2 linked regions of the Notamacropus eugenii genome follow. The protein of the gene in region 1 interacts with the protein of each later gene in a biochemical or structural test. Links are inferred from orthologs where the notes say so. Each region holds a gene or a part of one and is shown on either strand. Other genes may lie near its edges.

Region 1 (9,995 bases):
TACAGCAAACTCTTTGTAGGTTTTATCTGGCATCCGGCCAAACTTCTAAACAATAAACAATTCCCCCTGGTGTAGGGAGGATTTTTTAAAAGACTTTAGGTATAGTCTCGTAAATATCTCTATCAATTGAATGGAAATAAAAGGAAGCAATAGAACGTGCTGGGTCTCTTACCTTCCACCCAAAGCTCTTCCACGTTGGTTTCAAGATTAGCTGCCTTTAATCCTACAGCGAAAGCCCCAAATATAAGGAGGCCCACAACCAAAAACTTGCCGCAGTTTTTTTGAATGTAACAACCCAGTTTAAATAATAGTCTCTGAAACTTCGCTCTCAGCCACAGCGGCGCTTTCCTGCCGGTAGCCTTCCCCTGGAATGCAAGGAAATATGAGGAATAAGTGCTTCGAAATCACCATATACACTTAAGCACTGTATACAACAATGTTTGTGCTTTGGGGGTGCGCCTCTCCTTCACCCCCTACAAGACACAAACACACTCAATCTTTTGGCAGGACTTGGGAGAGTCGAGACGGACTTGCTGTAAGTGAAGAAGTCTTGTCTGGAGAGTGGGAAAGAGGAGGAAAACGTATTTCGAGTGCATAAGCAAAATAACTTTCACACTGTAAAAGGTAAATGAATTAGTTAACCCAACCACAAGGACACTAGCTAGTGTTGGACGGTTCCCTTCTGAAAGCGTGGTAAGGAATAAGGTGAGAGTCTGGCCAGAGGGGCGGAGTGTGGGAGTGGGATGAGTTATTCATAAATCAAAGCCTGGCTTCTGAGTGAAATCTGTATCAAGACTGTGAGTGAGCGTGCCTCTAAGCACCTCCTTCTGGGACTCTACTAGGAGTCCTGGGGTGTCTGAGGGCAGGGAAGGAGACATTGGCTGTGTGTGTATATGTGAGTGTGAGTGTGTGTGTGTGTGTGTGTGTGTGTGTGTGCGCGCGCGCGCGCGCGCGCGCGCGATCGTTGGTCCGGAGGAAAGAAATCATTGATACTAGAATATTTACAGTGGGGAAGGGGGACGGCAGCGGCACGGAAAATTAATACAAATTAATTAATTAATTAACATAAGTGAATTGCAATCGGCTAAGACAAGGACCACAAGAATAAACACCTGGTCCTCTCCACTCTCCCCCACCTCCCATCTTGCTGTGTCTCTAGGATGCGGTGGTTAAAGGGGTGGATGGTGGGGAGGCAGGATGCTATTTGATAACAATTTGATTTGTTGCCATTTCCTCAGCCCAGCTCCCACAGCCTTCAACACCAACTTTGTAGTAAAACGCAAGATCCACGTGGCGGGCAATGCTGCAAGATCATAGCTTAATCGTGATTCATTTCCATAGAGTTAGGAGACGCTGTGTGATCTGAATTAAGAAGTAGAGCAGCCATCTGTAAGTTACGACAATATTTGTGAACAGAAGAGGGCAGCCACATGGATTTTTTTCCCTCCCCTTTCCCTTCTTGCTGAAGCATTTTAAAAAATCTGCTCTCTGAAAGGAAAATAACGTTTATGGAAAGGGAAATATCTGGGCGTTGTTTATTCTCGCAGATATTTCTTCTTCAGAATCAGTAACCGGGGATTCTCTCTGCTACAATATGTTTACACGGAATTCCTGGATTCCACACATTTCAGTAAGAGTAACGAACACAATGAACCCGGCGACTCAGTCAGACCTGCACCGCAGATTTAAGGTGGCAATTTGTTTACAACTTTCACTTTTCCTACGAGTTGGAGGTCAGGGTAAACCGGTCAAAAAGAAGAGAAGGGAAAATATCTTCTCCTCAAAGGCGATTTTTAAAGGATTTGAGATTTCACGCTTACTCAAAGCTTAACAAAAGCAAAACGGGCTGCCAAAAAAGGAAACCACCTTTATTTCTACCCCCTCCTCCTTCCTCTCCCCGCCTCCCTCCACCCCCACCCCCAAAATATGTTAAGAAATGTGGCAGCATTAGAGGAGAGAGAGAGAAAAGCCAACCTAGAGAAAGGATAGAGGGAGAGAGAGCCAGTACCAACCTTAAGTCTTTTTCTGGATTGGTTTAATGGGAGAATAATTCGAATGACCCAGAAAGTGTACACTAGACAGGGAGAGCACGTTACACAGTCACACACACACACACACACACACACACACACACACACTTCCACCCCCTGCATTAGTTAGACATCCCTTTCCTTCCAAAGCTGGTGGGTGTGTTTGGGTTTTTCATTTCCCCTAGTCTATTTCTTTATCCAAAAGAGGGGAGTGTGTGTATTCGTACGGGTGCTTCCAAAGAGAAAAAGGAGAAGATGGAAAGGGATGCGAGGGAAGTCCAGAAGGAGGGAAAAGAAATACAGAAATGCACCTTTGAAATCTGCTCCAACGCGAAAGCCGCATCGCAGTAGCTCGGCCGCTGCAGATACTCCAGGTCTGGTGCCCCGGCACGTCGGCTCCCCCCGGTCCTTCTCCGCCTCCTGCTGCCGTTTCCCCCAGGCAGACTGGGGTCTCTGCCGCAGCCTCCGCTGCCGCCGCCGCCGCCGCTCTCAGGCTCCGCAATGTTAACAGCTGAGGCCATGTTGCCGCCGCCGCCGCCGCGGTGACTGAGCTGCCCCTGCTGCTCCCGCATCAGGCGGGCTGGCTTGTCTCGGTTCCCCCACCACCACCACCACCACGGCGCGCTGCTGGAGCTGGCTGGTGATGCCGGGGAGTAGGCTCCGGAGGACGCTTCTTTCTGCGGGTGGCTCCGGCTTTTGCTGTGGTCGCTGCTGCTGCTGACAGACCTCCTCATACCGCGGGGGCTGCTGCTGCTGCTGCCGCTGCTGCTGTTGGAGAAGAGTCAGGACCTGTGCCTTCCATTGCAACATTTCGTGGTGATCCGGAGGTCTCTGCTGCGGCCGCTTCCCACATCCAGTTCGCGAAGAGGGTGAGAGGGATCCGTATGTGTGTGTGCGCGCACGGGGGGCGAGCCTCTCTCTTTCCTGCTTGCCCCCCCCTCCCCCCGGTGTCTCCTTCACCACCACCAAACAATCCCCACCGCCGCTTCCTTCGCTCCTTGTTTGCCCCCTTTTCCAGACCCTTTTACTTGGGAAAATGTGAGGAAACCCCCAGAGATCCCGCCACCGGGGCTTTCTCCCTCGGCTCCTTTTCTTGAGTTGGTTCTCCGGGAAGAAAGCAAAAAGCCACGGCAGAATCCGAGCTTCCTTTGCTCTTCTCAGTGCTGCTGGGGAGTTGCTGCTCCTGCTCTCGCTGGTGCTGCTGCTGGAGGCGGAGGCTGCTGCTGGGATTGCTCCTTCGACTCTGGCTCTGGCTTCTGCTCCTTGCCGACTCGCTGTACCATTCTGTTTCAGTGCAGCGCTGGTCTCTGACTCCCGGGACTTTGGGACTCCAGTCTGCGTGTGTGCAGCAAGCAGCAGCAGCTCCTTGATTCAATAGATGAGATGGAAGAAGAAAAAAAAGAACTCTCTCCATTTGGAGAAAGAGGAGGAGGAGGGGAGGGGGTGGAGGGGGAGAGAGCCAGCGAGAGAGAAAAAGGCTGGAGCTCCCGCCCCTGGGGCTGTCAGATGGCTAGGATTTCTGCGATGTGATTGGCTCAAGGAGGGCAGAAATTACTCAGCAAACATGACTATTATTAGCTGCTTAGCAACAGCTCACCAAAGTAGAGAGACCACCCAGGCAGGCAACCCTAGTGTGTGCATCCCCAGCTTCAAGGGGAGCCTTAAAGAGCTCCAACCTTCTTGCATGCAATACTTCCATTAAGGAATGCTCCCCCCTTCCTTTTCTTTTGAAAAGTGTCTTCTTTTTATGAGACGCTTTTTTTTGCACGCACACACACACACATACACACACACACACACACACACACACACACACACACCTCGCGATGTACAAAAAAAGTAATATTTTTTAAAGCGCTTAAAGAATTTCAGAAACTCCTAAAAAGAAAATCTATTCAGAGGCACCTTGGCCTCAAGCTGTAGCAAATACTGGGAGGTCCGACTTGAATTCCCAGGCTTGAACCAATAATGACAGGGTGGTGGATACCGAGGTAGTGCGTGCCAATTCCACCCCCCCCCCCCCCCCCCCGCCGCTTTCTTTTATAACTAAAAGGAAGACGGTCTCTCGCAAGAGAAATACGCCATACATTAAAGATAAACAAAACGGAAAGTTAAATAATACAACACAAGAACCTTAAAAAACAACAACCGCCTCCAAATCCCCTGCCTACACCAGCCCCCTCCCCCTAAACACTTACTATATTCAAGGAAGAAATTAGTGATTTATACTATAGCATCCAGACACCCGCAGCAATTGTATATGGGAGTTGGGGGGGGGGGGCTGTTTTTATTTGAATCTAAATGATCGCATAGTTTAAAAAGAGAGTCATTTGAAATTTTGGCAAAATTGAATTGTCTTATTTCCTTCAAAAGAAAAAAAGTTACTGCCACTCAGTTTGCTTCATTCTGACCCCCTTTTAGTACGCGTACATATTTATTTAAAGTCAGTTGCGAACTGACTTTTTAAAAAGCGGTACGCATCCTCTATATATTTAGTAATAGCGTGACGTAGGGAGGAATAAAGGCTTTGATGTTGAATTCATTCGAAACAAATTGTGCACTGACTGTAAGTACCCATCCCGACGCTTTAGCTAAGGTCACGAAGACATCCTAGGCTTTACTTTCCCATTGGGATAAATAGCCCCTTTTGGAAGCGTACATGGTTAATTTGCCAGCAGTAGGGGCTTGCCTTGCAAAATGTCTCAGAAACTAGGCTGGCTCGACCGCTTTTTTTTTTTTTTAAGAACGTGGGTGGGATTTTTGGTGTTTGTTTTTGTTTTCCCCCTTAGCTTTGCAAGTTATGAAATTTCTCCCCGCAGTGGCGATCAGGGCACTAGCTTCTTTTTTTTTAAACTCGACTGCATTGCGAGGAAACTAGCGGGATGTTGTGCTGATGGAGGCAGCGAAATAGGGGAGTGTTGCTTTAAGGTGCACTCGGTGTGTGTTCATTGAAAAAAAAGAAGAAAGAAAGGAAAGGAGAGAAAAGAAAGAACCCCAGATGGAGGGAAAGTAGGAGGGGCGGGGATGAAGAGGGGGAGGGGGCGAGGCAGCGGGGAGGTGGAGTCTGGGCGAGGCCACGTGACCAACGAGCCGGGAGCTGAGCCCCAGTCCTCTGGAGCTGCTGCAGATCTACCAGCTCCCCTGCCTGGGGGTGCGTGCGTGCGTGCGTGTCCAAGCGTGAGGAGGCGGGGGGCTGGGGGTGGAGGGAACTCACGCCGCTGGACAGGCAAGTGACAAGGCAGGAGCGGAAAGGGAGAGTACCCTCGCTGCCTGCCCGGCTTTGGGATTCACCCAGTCGGGGCACGTCCATCGGGATTTTCATTACTCTTTTCCTTCCTCCTTCCTTTTCCCTCCCCGCTCCAAGGAGTTCGTGTCGTTAAGAAGCCGGAGGAAAAAGGGGAAGGCTGCCCCTCCCACCCCAGTTATGCGCCGCTGCCGGTGCCGAAAGGCATGCCAGACAAGCCATAGTACATTCCTAAAGGAGGTCTCTTCCCCCTTTACGTTACCCAATACCAACGAGGCTTGACTACTACCGGCCAATAGCAGCAAAGAAAGGAAACATTTCCATTCAATTCTGCCCCAAGTCTTGGAAGATGTCACGGGCTGCCGGCCGGTGGAGAGACAAGCCCGCTGATTCCAGCGCACGCGGCTCTGGCAGAAAGAATCCGGCGCCTTCCTTCAGTTCCTAGGATGTCTCAGTGCCACTCCTTCCCTCTTTTCTTTCTCTTCCTCCTTACTGATGCATAGCTTTCTCTTTTTCATCTTTCCCTAACTCGTTTTCTTGCATTTCTTTGTATTTCCAGCGCTTTGTACAGTGCTGAGCACATAGGTTTAAAAACTGCTTGTTGACGTCTCTCTCTCTCTCTCTCTCTCCTCTCTCTCCCTCTCTCTCCCTATCCCTCCTTTCTTTCCTTTGCCTTTCATCTTTTCCCCCATCCTCTTCCTAGACCCCATTTCTTCCTTCCTTCCTTCCTTCCTTCCTTCCTTCCTTCCTTCCTTCTTTCCTTCCTTCCTTCCTTCCTTCCTTCCTTCCTTCCTTCCTTCCTTCTTTCTTTCCTTCCTTCTTTCCTTCTTTCTTTCCTTTTCTCCCCTTTCCTTCCTCTAATTTACTCTTGGAACCAGTTTTTCTTTCTTCCTCAGTCATAGTCCTGACCCAGAAGAGGTAGAAGGAAACCTCACTTATAAGAAGGGCTTTCACAAAGTGACACTCTCAAAGATGAGATGGGGCACAGATGTACGTGGGCGGTTTCATATCATAAAAGGAAGAGTAGCCAGGCAGCCGGGAAATTTAAAATTGAATGTCTTAACTGGGACATCATTTTAGTATGTGGCAATTCACTGTAGATGTAGGCATTATCTACAACAAGACCTCTTAAAAAGCCAGTATGATCAAACAGTGTAAATAAAAGACAGAATAGTGTTGGAACTAAACAGGATTGCAGGAAGTTTTGTATTAATACATGACAAAGCTGTAATATGAAAAATTAATCTTATAGTGAAAATTGCTTTTAAAATCTGAGAAGCACCATCAAATTGTATTGATGTCACATACTGTATGAGCCAGCCAAGATTTCAGGTTATATTAAGAAGTGCTCAGTGTACATTTTCAATAACTTCTGTCAATGTTGAGGCTATCTCTCATTTCGACTCATTTATAGGAGAGGACCATATATTTAGAGCTGGAAGATACTTCAAAGCTCTTAGTTTTACAGATGCCCAGAGAGGTTGTGACTTGCCCAAGGTCCTAATGGTAAGTAACAGAGCTAATACAGATTGTTAGGACAATCAGATGTTACCACATACGTATAAGAGTGTAGAGGTTTGCATGTTTCTTCAGCTGCTGAAGATAAAGCAACTATATCATAAATCACATTTCAAATTCTTAAAATTTTTGTATCAAAATTTTTGTCTGAATGTTATCTCATTGATCATTTAAGTTAATATTCATTGTTTCTTAATGTTGTTTAATATTTAGAGTACCACACTCAAGGAAGATATGGTAGTGAATATTAGTTCATTTTTACATGGAAGAAACATTCTTCTGCTTCTACACTGGTATCCTTTCAAGAGTAAGATGTCATCCTTCCATGTTAATTTCATTCAGTCTTACTTTATTTCGAAATACTTTGAATATTGATGCCTGAAGTTTAAAATACATGACGCCTTTCTACCACCCCTCTTTGCCTCCTGTTTGATAGGTTAACTTTTCATGATCTTAGACAATGCCCTGCTGGTATATTCTTCTCACTGGTTCCCAAACTCAATCTGGAACCTCAGATTTAACAAGCACTATCTTAATCTCTCTCCCATCCCTTCCCTTCTCTTCTCCCCCTGTGGTCTGCTTTTTTCATACACAAGAGATGAATTACTTTGGGGATCTAATTGGCCTGGTTTCTGCAATGTTTTTTAAAAAGGAAGAGGTGCCAGTGTAAAAGCCTGTCTCAACATGGGTGGTCAGGGCTGAGGCTGCCCCCAATTTGCCTCATTGCTGATGCATGCGAGTGCTACATTCCCAGCGATAATGTTGTTCTTAATCAATCTGCCCTTATTTACATTTGTAAGCATTGTTGGCTTTAATATGCATGCCCTGTGCATGTAACTGCTGCTCGACACCAGGTTTTGTTAACTTCAACTAATCACAAGGATCCCACAGACCTGATATGGAGCTGGTTTGGATGAACAGGGCCTGCTAAGGTGTCTCTCAGTGAGAGTCCTTGAAGAATAGCCTTTATTCCTTAGCTTCCCTTGTAGATCTGTCAAACACGTGATCACTTGAGACCTTGTGGACTGGCAGAACTTTTCAGTATAGATGAAGAAACATCTGATTTGCCTCCTTTCATATTCCTTTTAGACCATATTTCAATACATGGGTTAACTTTTCTTCCCTTGTGGTCCAAAGACTTCAGTTAAATTCTGTGAACTGAAGAATCCCTCCTTGTGTTTCATTCCCCCTTTCTCTGTTCTAACACTTTAACTTCCCATGGTCCTACAACACAGTTCTGAAATCTACATTTGATTATCCAAATTCAATAGGACATGGACAACAAAACGCCTGGCCTCTGTGTTTGAATATTACAGAGTGAAGTGAGCAAAGCAAGATATAGCTAAATAGAGGAACAGAACAGAGTATGGTTATGAACCCCCGAATGATCTTCCAGTTACCTTTTGGAATGTTGTTCCCTCCTTACTCTTTGGATGTTCAATGTAACCCTTGGACTTCAATACTTGATAACGTGGTGTTTGTATGATACCATAAGCTGCCTTTTGTGTAATGCCATCCATGTAAACAACATATGAATAAGTATGCCCAATGCATTTGTCTTATAATTCACAGTTTTCAGTATGAATTTCATTTGCTTAATTTCAACCATCTCTAACCTAATAAAATGCAATAGTAATACTTTGCTTTTTATATTGCATTTACTTTTCAGAAATGCAAAGAACTTTTGACGTAACACACTACTCCTTACAATATTGCTGTCAGTTTCACAGGGCATAGTAATAGCATAATTTCGGTTTGTAGACGATAAAACAAATACAAACGTCCAGTGAGTTGCCCAAGGACAGAAAATGAGTTTAGGCGTTGAGATGTCTCAAACAGATCCCAGGAGTCTTGACAATCTAGTGTTCCACTATTTGCTGCATTTCTTGCTCCTTAACAATGCCATATTATCTCCTTATAAATGTTTGTGTATTTCCTTACAAGTTCTCTTGAAGGAATTGAAAGGTGGAGCCTAGAGACAGAAATTAGACCAAATGGTTCTAAAAAGTTTCAGGGTTGAGAAAAGAAAGTATTCAGCTGCCATAGAATCTCAAGACACTGGGCTTGACCTCCTTCTCCCTCCCCCACTCTCTTTTCCTCTACTTACCCCCTCCCCTTCTCCCCCTGCTCAGGGATGTAAGAAAGGGAACAGCTCGACCCAACTTGTCAAAATAATGCTGCTAATTACCCCTGATCTCCTTTAATGGGAAGCTGCCCCAAACTCTACAAAGGAGTAAAAGAGAGATCTACAGCACAAACCCAGGAGCATTGGCATTTATTGAGCTCCCAGAGAGGGGTGGGGGGTAGAGAAATGTCCCACCAGCATCCCAGATATCTCCGCATTCATCAGACCAAGGTTATTAGTGAAGGCACCCCAAATATTAAAATGTAGTGGGAATTATACTTCCTGCAGTAGCCACAATGGCAGGGAATTCAAGACTGCTGAAGATCTCATCAGCTGCAATAAGGCTTGTCCACAAAGCAGTTTTGAATAAAACACAGAAATGATTGTGGTGTGGGTGTTTTTTTCTCTTGCGGAATATCTTTCTGACTCTGTTACTTTGATGTATTTGGAGTCATTATTGAATGCAACCAGAACAAAATATAGATTCAGATATTGAAACTGATATATGTATAGATATTTATATAGCTAGCTACAATCTATATATACATACTTATATATATATGTATATATACCCACATACACTTCTGCATATACATATATCTCTATCTCTATCTATCTTTGTCTTTGGCAGAAGGCAAACCATTCACTTTCATGATCTCTACAATTGGGTGTTTCACTAAAAAAAGAAGCTCCGCTACATGATCCCTTTGACCCACTGCTGGAGCAACAAATTTATTAGAGATATAGGCATGAGAAATGAAAAGGAAGTAAAACAATTCAAGCTTATTGTGTGTCTTTCTTTCATACTGCTAATCCGGTTTACACATCACGCCTACATGTCTCAATAGGGCTTTATACACTGGGGCAGAGGCAGAAGAAAATAAAAGGTGTATGTGTATGTGTGTGTGTGTGTGTGTGTGTGTGTGTGTGTTGTGTATGTATGTGAAATAAGAATAAAAGCAGGAAAGACTAAGATTTTAATTCATTGTGATTTGTCAGTTGACTGTCAACAACAAACTTAAAATATATCTTTTCCCAAACTATTTCCAAAGTGTAGACTTTTTTCAAAATATATTGT
Region 2 (10,972 bases), about 240 Mb from region 1:
TGTTTCAAGAATGAACAGCTAATGGGACCCAGTTGAACAGGAGAAAAGAAAGTCTTTGAAAATTGTCAGGTTTCTTTAATGACTCCAAGTTTCCCATGAAAGCAAAAGCCTATCTTTTAAATATCAACATTCTACCAATACTGCTGTATGGCAGATATATATAATAGCTTTTCTCCAAAGAATCAAAAATTAATATCATAAAAGGCAATGGAGACTTTCCTGGTGGGTATGAGGTGGCTGCAAGAAATAATCACTGAGGAATTCTGAAGAAAAAGAATAAGAAATGTTACCAAGGAATTAATTATATGAAAGGAATGGTTTGGTCCTGCCTGTATCAAGATAAGAGAGTGCTTCCGTGGTACCCTTACAATGTAAGAAGAAATTGAGGAAGGCCTCTAATATATTAGGTGAACTCCCTGTGGCAAACATATAGAAAGATGTGGACCAAAGTAGAATGGAATTGGCAGACATGAATGGGCTGCTAATGCACTGCTGGAGGGAATTTCAAAATCTATGAGATCACAGATCTATTTGAGTATCCTGGGCCTAGACCAGGGCTTAGAACATAGTTGGAGCCTGCTAAATGGTTATGGATTGGTTGATCTATAAAATTAGAGAGCTGGACTTATAACCAGAGGTTCTTCAGCTGGGGTCTGTGAACTTGTTTCTTTCATCATTTGGTAACTGTATTTCAATATAATTGGTTTCCTTTATCATCCTGTGTATATTATTTTATGCATTTAATAGCATTAATCTGAATAGGGAGCTATAGACTACCAGGCTGCCAAAAACGGTCCAAGACACAAAAAAGGTTAAAAACTTCTGGACTTGATAATCTCTATATTCTTTGATCTTGGGAACTGCCATGGTGAAGGGAACTGCCAAAATTATGAGTTGAGTAGCACTTCTTGGATGTATGATTTCATTTGTGTATTTCTGTCACTAATAAAAAAATGTGACCCCTTAGTAGACAGTCTCCAAAAGTAACTATCTATCACCCAGACTGACAGGAAAGCCAGTCTTACTGAATCAAGCACCCTAAGAGAAAGACAAGCAAGTCAAACAACCACCACCACCTTGGCAACCATCTCCCTTCAGACCCTGATGGAGGCAGTCCAGAAGCCTGAGCCCAAGAGTTTTGGAAACAGCAATGCTTCCAGCCTAGTGCCCTCAACCATCTCAGCCATCATTCTGGGAAGCAGTCCTTGTGGAAATGCAGCCTGGCAACTGTTCCTACAAGTGCTGCAGTCAAGCTATTAAAGACCTAGAAAAGAAAGTTCTTACCACCAAAGTCCTTGGCACTGACAAATAGTTCAACATCAGAAATTGATAGAATGACATTCAAGAAGCATTAATGTCTGCTTTGTCATGGCACCCTGAGGAGCATGGGACTTTTCTATTTGACTTGAATCTGAAACCTTTCATTCTTAGTGAATTTGAGATCAGTCTATTTTCATTGTCTCTTTGTATCACATTAAAGTGTTTAATAAATGCTTTATCCATTCATTTATTCATTGCTATAGTAGGAAAAAAGCATAACTTAGTATCCTATCTTGAGATGATGAGTCTTTTAAAACATATCTAAGTCCTTGGTTGACAGAAGCATTGACTGGGCTTTTCAGCTTGGTAGGACCCTCCAGGACTTCCTTCTGCTGGTCTAGCCTCGGAGAACCCACTGTCACCTCTATACCCTATGGAGGCATCTACTTTATGGAGGTAAGGGTCAGATGCTTTCCTCAGAAATGCATACAAGGCAACCCTAAGAGTAGGCAGTGGTGGGGCGGGGGGAGTTAGAAGCACAGAAGGGGAAATATAGGACTGATGGAAATCAGAGCTGATGAAGCTGAGGCAAGATTGAGATGATCATTACTGAAGGGAAGGAGAATGTACAGAACTAATGGAGATGCCAAAGGGGAGGAGGAGGTTATCCCAATTGGTAAATGTAACGTTGGAGCTGGAGACTAGGAAATAGAGGTAAATGGAGAGAAGCATTAGAGCACTCCAGCATAAATCTCATGGGATAAAGAGAAAGTACAGGTGGCATGATGATGGTTGGGGAAGAGGGCAGTGGAGTGGGAGGGTCAGTCTATCTTCTCAAGGATTTCCATGACAAAGGTCAGCCTATCTTCCCAGGGCCTCCAGGTTATCTCAGGCACCTTGTTTTGGTTTGGAAAACCAGGCCAAGGCTTGAGCCCTCCATGTTTAATCTGAAGGCAGAGTGAGGGGGCCATCTAGTGTCTGGGGCTGAAAGGGGGAGACAGTAGGAGCTGTTTCAAGGAAGGGCGCCATCTGGGGGCTTGGGGGTAGAATCCAAAGGGAGGTCACCTGTCCTCTAGTGGGATGGATGGATGGATGGATGGATGGATGGATGGATGGATGGGGGAAACCCAGGTGGAGTGGAAGCAGAGAATGGGACTTGCTGACAGGCAGAAGGAATAGGCTGGGATTTGGGACTGACAGTCAGGCAAAGGGAGGGGCCTGGCTTGTCTGGAAGTGGGTGGGGGAGGAAAAGGGAGAGAGCCATCTGGTGTCTGGAGGTGGAAGACAGAAAGAGTGTCTGGTGTCTGGGAAATGGGAAGGGTGTCGGTGAGATGAAAGGAGGGGGGAGAGAGACAGTAGGGGGAGGGGTCTGGGACGAAGAGGAGCTGTTTGCCCCTGCTTCATCCACCTCCAGCACTTTGACTGAAAGTGTTTCCCAAGAAACAACCAGACCCTCGGTTTTCTTAGACGATGAGACTGTGAGCATTGTGGAATCTTTTTTTTTTATTTTGTTTTCTCCTTTTACCACCCTCCACACCCCAATTCATGACCGAGAGATCGATGCAACTGACGAGGGCATCAGTATTGGATCCTGTCTGGGCTTTCCCTTCATCCTCATTACCCTCATCATTATTTTAAGACTTGACAATCCATCCAGCTCCTGACATCATTCTTTCCCGGTGTAGGGGAAGGTGGAGGAGAGGAAGATACTGGGAGGGAGGATTGGGGAGAAGGCAGGGATGTCGCATTGCTACCGACAGAAGCTGTGAGGGATCCTGGCGACTTTAAATCAACCTTTGAGCTATCCGATGGGCCACGCCAAGCTGGGTCCCCTGCCTGTCCTCTCTTAGGGAGACGGAGAAGGAAGAGGCAATGCAGCAGTTCAGCCAGATCTCAGAATCTGGGCTGGGGACGCAAACTGAAACTGCAGCATGCTCAACCCCGACCCTTTCCCCTCCCACCCAGACCTCCGCTTTCTCTAACTTCTGACTTGAGATTTTCAACTCTTGGCTTTTACACACACACACACACACACACACACACACACACACACACACACACACACACACACGGTAATAAAAAAATAAAAAAGTAAAAAGCCAACCCTCTATGTTGTCGGTTTGGGGTTTTTCCACGTGCATTTATGATTTGCATTTAATTAATTCCTCCTCTTTCCTTGCCTGTTGCTCTCTGGCTGACTGCTTTGTATGTATGGAAAGCCGGCTAATGAGGAGGTTCCCCGGGATTCTAGACTTCACTCCTTCACTGCCGGGCTCGCGAATGAAGTGGCCAGTGGGGAAAAGCGATCAAGTGATGTGTTTATTAATTAATTAATTTATTTATTTGTGAAGTTGGGGGTGGGGCGGGGAAGCGGGGGTGGAAAAAGGGAGGGGAAGGAAAGAGAGAGACGTGCCAGGGCGGGGGAGGGTGATCAAAAGGTGTGCAATATTCCACACAGGCAGGATCACTTCTTATTCCCTGGCACTATTTAATCATATTACATCAACACGTGCTGCGCCAGGTAACCACATCAAACGACCATACCTTCTTTGGGATATAACGTTATATCTTTCTTGTATCTATTTTCACGGGTTGAGTACACACACACACACACACACACACACACACACACACACACACTGCAAAAAGTTAAAACACCGACTTGTCAGCTGAGGTCTATCTGTCTGGAGCTAACCCGGGAACTTTTAACACAGATCCGTCCTTTAATTGATAGAGTTGGGAAGGTGTTTTCCAGCTACCCAGGGCCTGTTCAGATCTCTTCCTGAGTCGTAGGATAGGGGGACCAGGCTTTGTACTTTGTAAAGATCTGAATGGAGGGGACTATTAAAAAAAAAAAAAACGGGAGGCGGGAAGAGGCAAGAGCTTGTGTCCCATTTTGGAAATGCCATAAGAGTGTTAATTTCCACCACTACCCCCTCCTCAAAGGTTATTGCGATGGAATATTTCATAGACCTACCCAATTTACCGCATTGCCGAGGGAGTTAAAACTTTGAGGTCTGGGAGACCTTTATTTACTTTCTTCTCCCCATCCCACATATTTGTATTCTTTTTTTTGGTCTCATTTCTTTCAGAGTATCTGATTATTTCTTAGTGTATAGTTTTAGTTCTATCTCTCATATGTACTCCTACGACCCTCAGTTCCTTCCACCCCAGTAGTAGTCTTTTTTTTTCTTTTCAAAAAGAATAAATAAGAAATACCATGTTCTTCAAATGGGACGCTTAGAAATTCCATGTTTTTCTGATTTAAATGGAACTTTCTCTGAAATGAGTGTGGAGGTACAAGGAACTGACTTTGTAAAGATTCAGAGATCTAAGGCCAATGCTGCTGGTTTGGGAGTTGTTTCTTGTAAAGGGACGTGACTGTTCCTTAGAGAAAATGCTTTTGAATTAAGCCTCCTCCTGCCCCCACCCCACCCCAACTCCGATTTCCAGCGACTCGGCTTCTCTCTAGTCACTTTAGGTCTGGCAGATAATTTTGGGAGCCCAGAATAAAGACATCGCTGCACTACGCTGAAGAGAGCCCTGAATTTAACATTAAACTCATCCCCTTGCCCTGCACTTTGCTCCGATCGATCTGTGGGGCTGTTTGCGAAGCTCTACCAAAAGATTGCTGTCCTTCAAGAGGAAATAACTCTCTTCCCACACCGCTTCCCTCCCCCCCCCATTCCCTTCTTCTTGGAGCTGGGGTGGGGGTGGGGGGGGTCTAGTTCCCTAATACCTCTTAGCTTGAACACACCACTTTAGTTTGGGCACTGGGTAGTATGACCTGGTGCCAGGGCATCTGTTCTCTCACTCTCCTGTTCTGCAAGGTTTGAAGAGGTGTACATCTATTTCAACTTTGACTGTGTTTCAAGCATTTTGTGTTAACAGTTAAAGTATTTCAAGTAACAGTCCTCTCAGACATTTCCAGTTATAATCACACTCGCCCCCCCACACACACACTTCTAAGTCCACAGCTAACCTTAGTCTACTTCCAAGGATGCTTTCTTCAGTGGCCAAAGGCTCTTCCCTCTTGTGGAAAGATATTGTTGCTTTTAAACAGAGGGAGAAGGAGAGAGAGAGAGAGAGAGAGAGAGAGAGAGAGAGAGAGAGAGAGAGAGAGAGAGAGAGAGAGAGAGAGAGAGAGAAATCTTGCCTTCCTGATAAAGTCACTAAAAGGGATTTGTATAAATCAGCCGTGTTGCACTCATGGTTTTCATTGAACATTTGTCTGATGATCAAGGTTTGACTGGGAGTGAAGGGCGAGGGGAATGAGACAGAAGGAAGAATGAACTGTCTTTAAAAATTGCACTCGTATGAAACTTCCTAAAAGGTTGTCTAACAGAAGCATCTATTACTTTACTTGACAAATTTACCTTTCTCAGGAAAGTTTAAGAAGAAAAATCATGTAATTTATGTTATCCTAATAAATCAGATTCTACCTCACTACGATACAATTCACTTTGTGTTCTTCCCCTCCCCCTTTCTTTTCTTTTTTCTTCCCCCCCCCCCTCTACACCCCCCCACCCCCCCCGCCCAAGCCCTCAGGTGAAAGTGCGGCGGCGGCAGCAGCAGCAGCAAGCTGCAGCAGCAGCAACAGAAGAAACATTTTGTTGCCTTTTTGAGGGTTAAATCAGAAGACAGGCTGTCTCGCCTCGGCCAATCAGATGTGGTCCCTGCCAGCTATAATATAGTGCTAAAGGCAGGCTTCTCTCACAAGCGTTTCTAGGCTTGCTACCATTAAAATCAGAGTCTTTTTGTCTTTTGATTGCTGTCTCGCGACCCAACTCCGATGTGTTCCGTTATCAGCGACCGGCAGCCTGCCATTTCAGCACCTGTCTCGATAGGGATCGGTGGATAGTTGAAGGAATCAGCAAGGAAGCAAAGGCTTATTGAGAGGGAGAAAAGAGAAAAGGAAAGAGAAGAGAGGGAGGAAGGGAGGAGAGAGAGAGAGGGAGAGAGAGAGGGAGAGGGAGAGAGGAGAGAGAGAGAGAGAGAGAGAGAGAGAGAGAGAGAGAGAGAGAGAGAGAGAGAGACCGAGACCTAAGGAGACAGTCTGAGATAGACACGCGCAAAGGCGCGCGCACACACACATATACACATACACACACACACACACATACACACACACACCAAGGAAGCTTTGAAGTAACTGGATTCAATGGACGAGATGCTGCTACTGACGAGATTTCTGCTGGTGGTTCTCGTCTCTTCCCTCTTAATGTCCTCGGGGCTGGCGTGCGGACCTGGCAGGGGATTTGGAAAGAGGCGCCACCCCAAGAAGCTGACCCCCTTAGCCTACAAGCAGTTTATCCCCAACGTGGCGGAGAAGACCCTAGGGGCTAGTGGAAGATACGAAGGGAAGATCTCCAGAAACTCCGAGCGATTTAAAGAACTCACCCCCAATTACAATCCTGACATTATATTTAAGGATGAAGAGAACACCGGAGCGGACCGGCTGATGACTCAGGTAGAAACCCCATCCATCCATGTGTGGCGTTTAATATGTTTCTTTGAAAGGCAAGGAAAATGTGAAAGGAAGCGCTCACAGAATGAGCCTCTGTCCTTTTTTTCTTCTCAGTTTTAAGATAATATCCCTTTCCCTCCTTAGCCACCTACCCCATCACCCTTCCTCTTTCTCAAAGAATCCATATTATAAGTAGAGCTTAGAGAAGTTTGGGGGTAGGAATGGGGGTGGGGAGAGTGCAGTTGAGCTCGGGTTTTATGTCATTGATTTGATTTCTGTGTTATTGGTCTGCTACTTCCTATCCTGTCTCAGCCCTGTCATGCAACTTGCTAGGGAGAGCTCAGCTTTTAGGGCATTCGGCTCCTTGAGTCTGTCCTTGTTGCTTGGGGAGGAAAGGAGGTGGAGAGGGAATAGAAATCAGAGAGATGGAAGAAGGGGGAATCCGTCCCCCCCCCCCAATATACAGTGACCACCACATCAGGATTACTGTCTCTTTGAGTATTAGATCTTAAGACACTTTTTCTCTATCTCCATTTTTATTTCCTTTCTCACCCCCACTCTTCCCACATCTCAAATAAATTCTTAATTCGGCAGGCCAGGGGAGGCTGTTCTGACAAAAGGCAGTGTGGCTTCAGCCACAGCTATTGCTCTCCCATTTCTGTATTATGTAGCTTGTATTGCAATACCGTTTTGCAATTGTGCCCATCGGAGTGTGAATATATTGATATTTCTTTAAGGATGCTCTCTTTCTCCCGTCGCCCGTGGTACCTTAGGGGAGGGACTTATAACTTATTAGCATTGCATCACTCTCTTTTAAATCAGATTGCTCAAGAATTACAACCGAATAAATATTGGGTGGGGGATGGGGAAAGGGAATAGTGGAAAGATGGAATGCAGAACTATCTTAGGCTTGTTATTTATTTTATCTTTAAAAAAAGAAAAAGGAAGAAACCGCAAAACAAACGTTCCCTTCGTACTTCCCTTCCCACATTGAGATGTCTGAAAAGCAAATTCGACCGCCAGTCACGGACTTTCTGAAACTCCATAGATCTAATAAGCTGGAAATGGTTTTCCTTGCAAATATAGGTCAATATCATTTTTATTGCCCTATTAAAATATTTAAGTCCCACCTTTGGTGCTAGCAACGCAATGAGGTTGGAGGAACCGCACTAGTGGGGGTGGAAAGTTGGGGGGGGGGGGTCGGAGTTGGTAATGATTTCCCCCCCTCCCAACCCTATTCAATCCCCCAAGTCCTCGGTTTATTGAGGGGCAGGAAAAAAGACTGTCCTGAAAGATGACTTCTATTTTAAAGGGTGTCCTTAGCCTCTCTTCCTCATCTGCTCTCGACCACCTTAAATCTTACCTAGAGCGTTGACGCGGGCTCTTGTAGGCAGATAAAAGCGTGAGCCTCAATTATGTACAGGCCACAGTGTGCAGGTTGAGTGCAGCGTGCTGGACTGAGTTTGCCAGCTTGCTTGGGCAGGAGCTTTCACTCCCTCCGCCCCAACCCCAACCTCTGTCCCTAGCCTGCCTCTGGCTGCTCATAAACCCACTGGGGGCGGGGGGCTGGGCTGTAGTGAGATGGCTCAGGATCGGAGGTAGGATGGGGTGGGGGTGGGGGGCCGGAGGTTCCTGGCTCAGAACCCTGTTAATAGTTGCTCTCGTTTGTGGAAGCCCGCCTGACAGACAGCCCGAGAGCCCGTTTCACCCATCCCTGGCCCCCACCGCCCACCAGACCTCAGTTCCCGGGTGCTTACAGCCCTCAGTCATCGCAGCCTTTCAGAAAAGCTGCAAGGCAACGGAGCTGTACGCCAAGTCAGACGCATTTTCAGCTCCACTTACTCCTTCTTTATCGATCGCCACGGCTAGGGTTTCAGCTTGTATCCTTTCTAATACGACAGAGGCTGGGGCTGCTGCTACTGCTGCTGCTGCCGCTGCCGCCGTCACGAGTCCAGATTCTCTTAAACCCGAAGGAAAGAAACCCTTCCCCTCCCTTAAAAGATCACGCCCGCGAATTAGCTGCATCACTAGAACGATGGTGATGATAATAATAATAATACTATAATGATAATAATTAAATAAAGCTGCTGGGGGGGGGCTGACTAGGCGAGGGTTGAGGAGGAGCAGGCGGCAGCGGCGGCGGCGGCAGGAGGAGGAGGAGGAGAAGGTAGGAGGGGTGTGGTGAAGATGTTTTAAAGGGCTGGGTACATAGCTGGAGAGCAAGCTCCGAAGGAGGACTGCTAATAGCCTGTCTGCTTTCTCTTTCACTGCTCTGCGTCTTTTCATTCCTTCTTTCCCCTTCTCTCCTCTTCTGCAGCCCCTTCCCCAGCCTCTCCAGAATCCTGGTCTTCTCTCCCTTTCACCCCCACCTCACTGATTCTGCATCCCCCTCCGACCTTTCCCTCGTCTACCTCTGTCCGTCCTTCCCCGCCCCCTCAACTGCTAGCCCTTCCCAGGGAATTCAGCGCCAAGCCTGCTACGGGCTTGACCACTCTGGCTGCCATTGGCCGGCAGCATTTGAACTTCTGACCTTCTGTCAACTTCCCTCAGACGAACGAAACGAAAACAAATAAGTTCCCCCCTTCCCTTGCGCACACACGCACACCAGAGCGTTGGCTAGTCCTGTTCCCGACACAAAAGATGGGGGGGGTGGGGGGTGGGCAAGAGCCAGAAGGATTGCTGGAGGGAGGGGAACTCAAGTCCCCGTAACGCTGCCCCCATGGAAGTACCCTAAAAATAATGCATGGTAGTGGGAAGAAAGAAGAGCTGAGGACTCAGTCCAGTCACCTGGTTTCTCTCTTCCACCCTACACCCTTCCTAATATCCTGTTCTCTGGGCTCCCCCAGTGAAAAGTGTGATGGGGGGGGAAGGAAGTCATTGTTGTTGGGGTGTAGTTGTGAGATATAATAATATCCTGTTGATCTGGAAGTGGGGGGATGGGAAGACTGGTGATCAGTTTCTCTGCAAAGACGTGTCTTCTGAACTGGGGTTCAGCAGGCGGTCTCCCTGAGTTAGACCAAACACCCGTGTGTGTGTGTGTGTGTGTGTGTGTGTGTGTGTGTGTGTGTGTGTGTGTTGCTTCACAAGTCCCTCAACCATGGCGAGATCTTCCCCAGTGGAACTTTGAGAACCGTTCCTGAACGCATTAGCTACTGGTTAATATTAACTCAAGGGAAGGGGGAAACGCAGACGGACATCGCTTACAGGCTCAGGCAGGTCAGGTCCCCAGTCTTAGGGGGGGCAATGGTCTGAAAGGGGGACAGCGGGAAGCTAGTAAGGGAAGTCGGACCTGTATGGAGGGGGAAGTAGGGAAGTGGCCTGAAATTGACGCATGTCCCGTCTGCTTTGCAATCAAGTTAGGGAAAGGGAATGTTGAAATATGGGGGAAGAGGGGGAACTTTGATGGGAGGGGGTGTTTTTTCTTAGTTAAGTAGGACAGGAGACGTATGTAGGGTATGATTTTGCGGGTTGTGGATCTTTTGAAGTTTAGGGTGGCCCTCTTTATGGGAAACCCACCAAGTTGTTTACAGTTGACAGGTACCTGCTAAGTGTTTTCCTCCGAGCATTCATTTGTGTAGAGAGAGGTTAGGCGCTTGGCAGAGAGCTGGGGCGTGTTGAACTACTTTGCTTCGGCTGACACAAAAGCCCGAGCTGAGGCGGCCCTGCTGGGCTTCACGGTGAGTGAACAGAATTGGGCTTGATTCGTGGCACACGACCCAGTGAATTAATAAATTGTCTGAGCTTCACGGCTTTTGACTCCGACAATCCAGCTCAGCCAGTATAGAGTGAGAGTCCTTCAGCCAGCAGCAGCAGCAGCAGCAGGAGGAGGAGGAGGAGAAGGTGGTGGTGATGGGGGTGGTGGTAGTGGTACTTCTCCTTTTACCAGAAAGAATTAAAAGGATGGGGGGGGGGGGGCTCTTGCCAAATCCCCACGTTCCACCCCCACTGCCTCCATCCCCATTCCCCACTCCACACCCGTATCCTTCTTCCTCTGAGTGCATCCTTGTGCTCACTTCCGAATGGCCCAGCTTAAGTTAGAGATCTCGATCCCGGAATGGGAGCCTAGATTGCCCCGGGCTGTTTAAAGATTCACAGTCTGGTGGGGACCGAGACTGTGAAGTGAGTCGGGAAAGACCCCGGGTAGGGAAGAGAAGCCGTGCGTGGGTATGCGTGTTTGTATATGTGCGCACGTGCACCCGTGGCCGCGGGGCGGGCTTACTCTCCCAAGCTAGAAATCCAGCGTGG

What was found.
Region 2: the proteins of PTCH1 (region 1) and SHH are reported together in a solved structure, tested with the Homo sapiens proteins (5 studies listed by BioGRID and IntAct, with this or other methods). The link is inferred for Notamacropus eugenii from reciprocal best matches to the Homo sapiens genes PTCH1 and SHH.

What each region holds. Positions count from the first base shown.
Region 1 is NC_092874.1:328,557,609-328,567,603, reverse strand, and holds the start of PTCH1 (protein patched homolog 1), read right to left. Parts: upstream 4,578-9,995; 5' UTR 2,765-4,577; coding exon 2,342-2,764; intron 366-2,341; coding exon 173-365; intron 1-172.
Region 2 is NC_092874.1:89,222,652-89,233,623, forward strand, and holds the start of SHH (sonic hedgehog protein), read left to right. Parts: upstream 1-5,984; 5' UTR 5,985-6,421; coding exon 6,422-6,730; intron 6,731-10,972.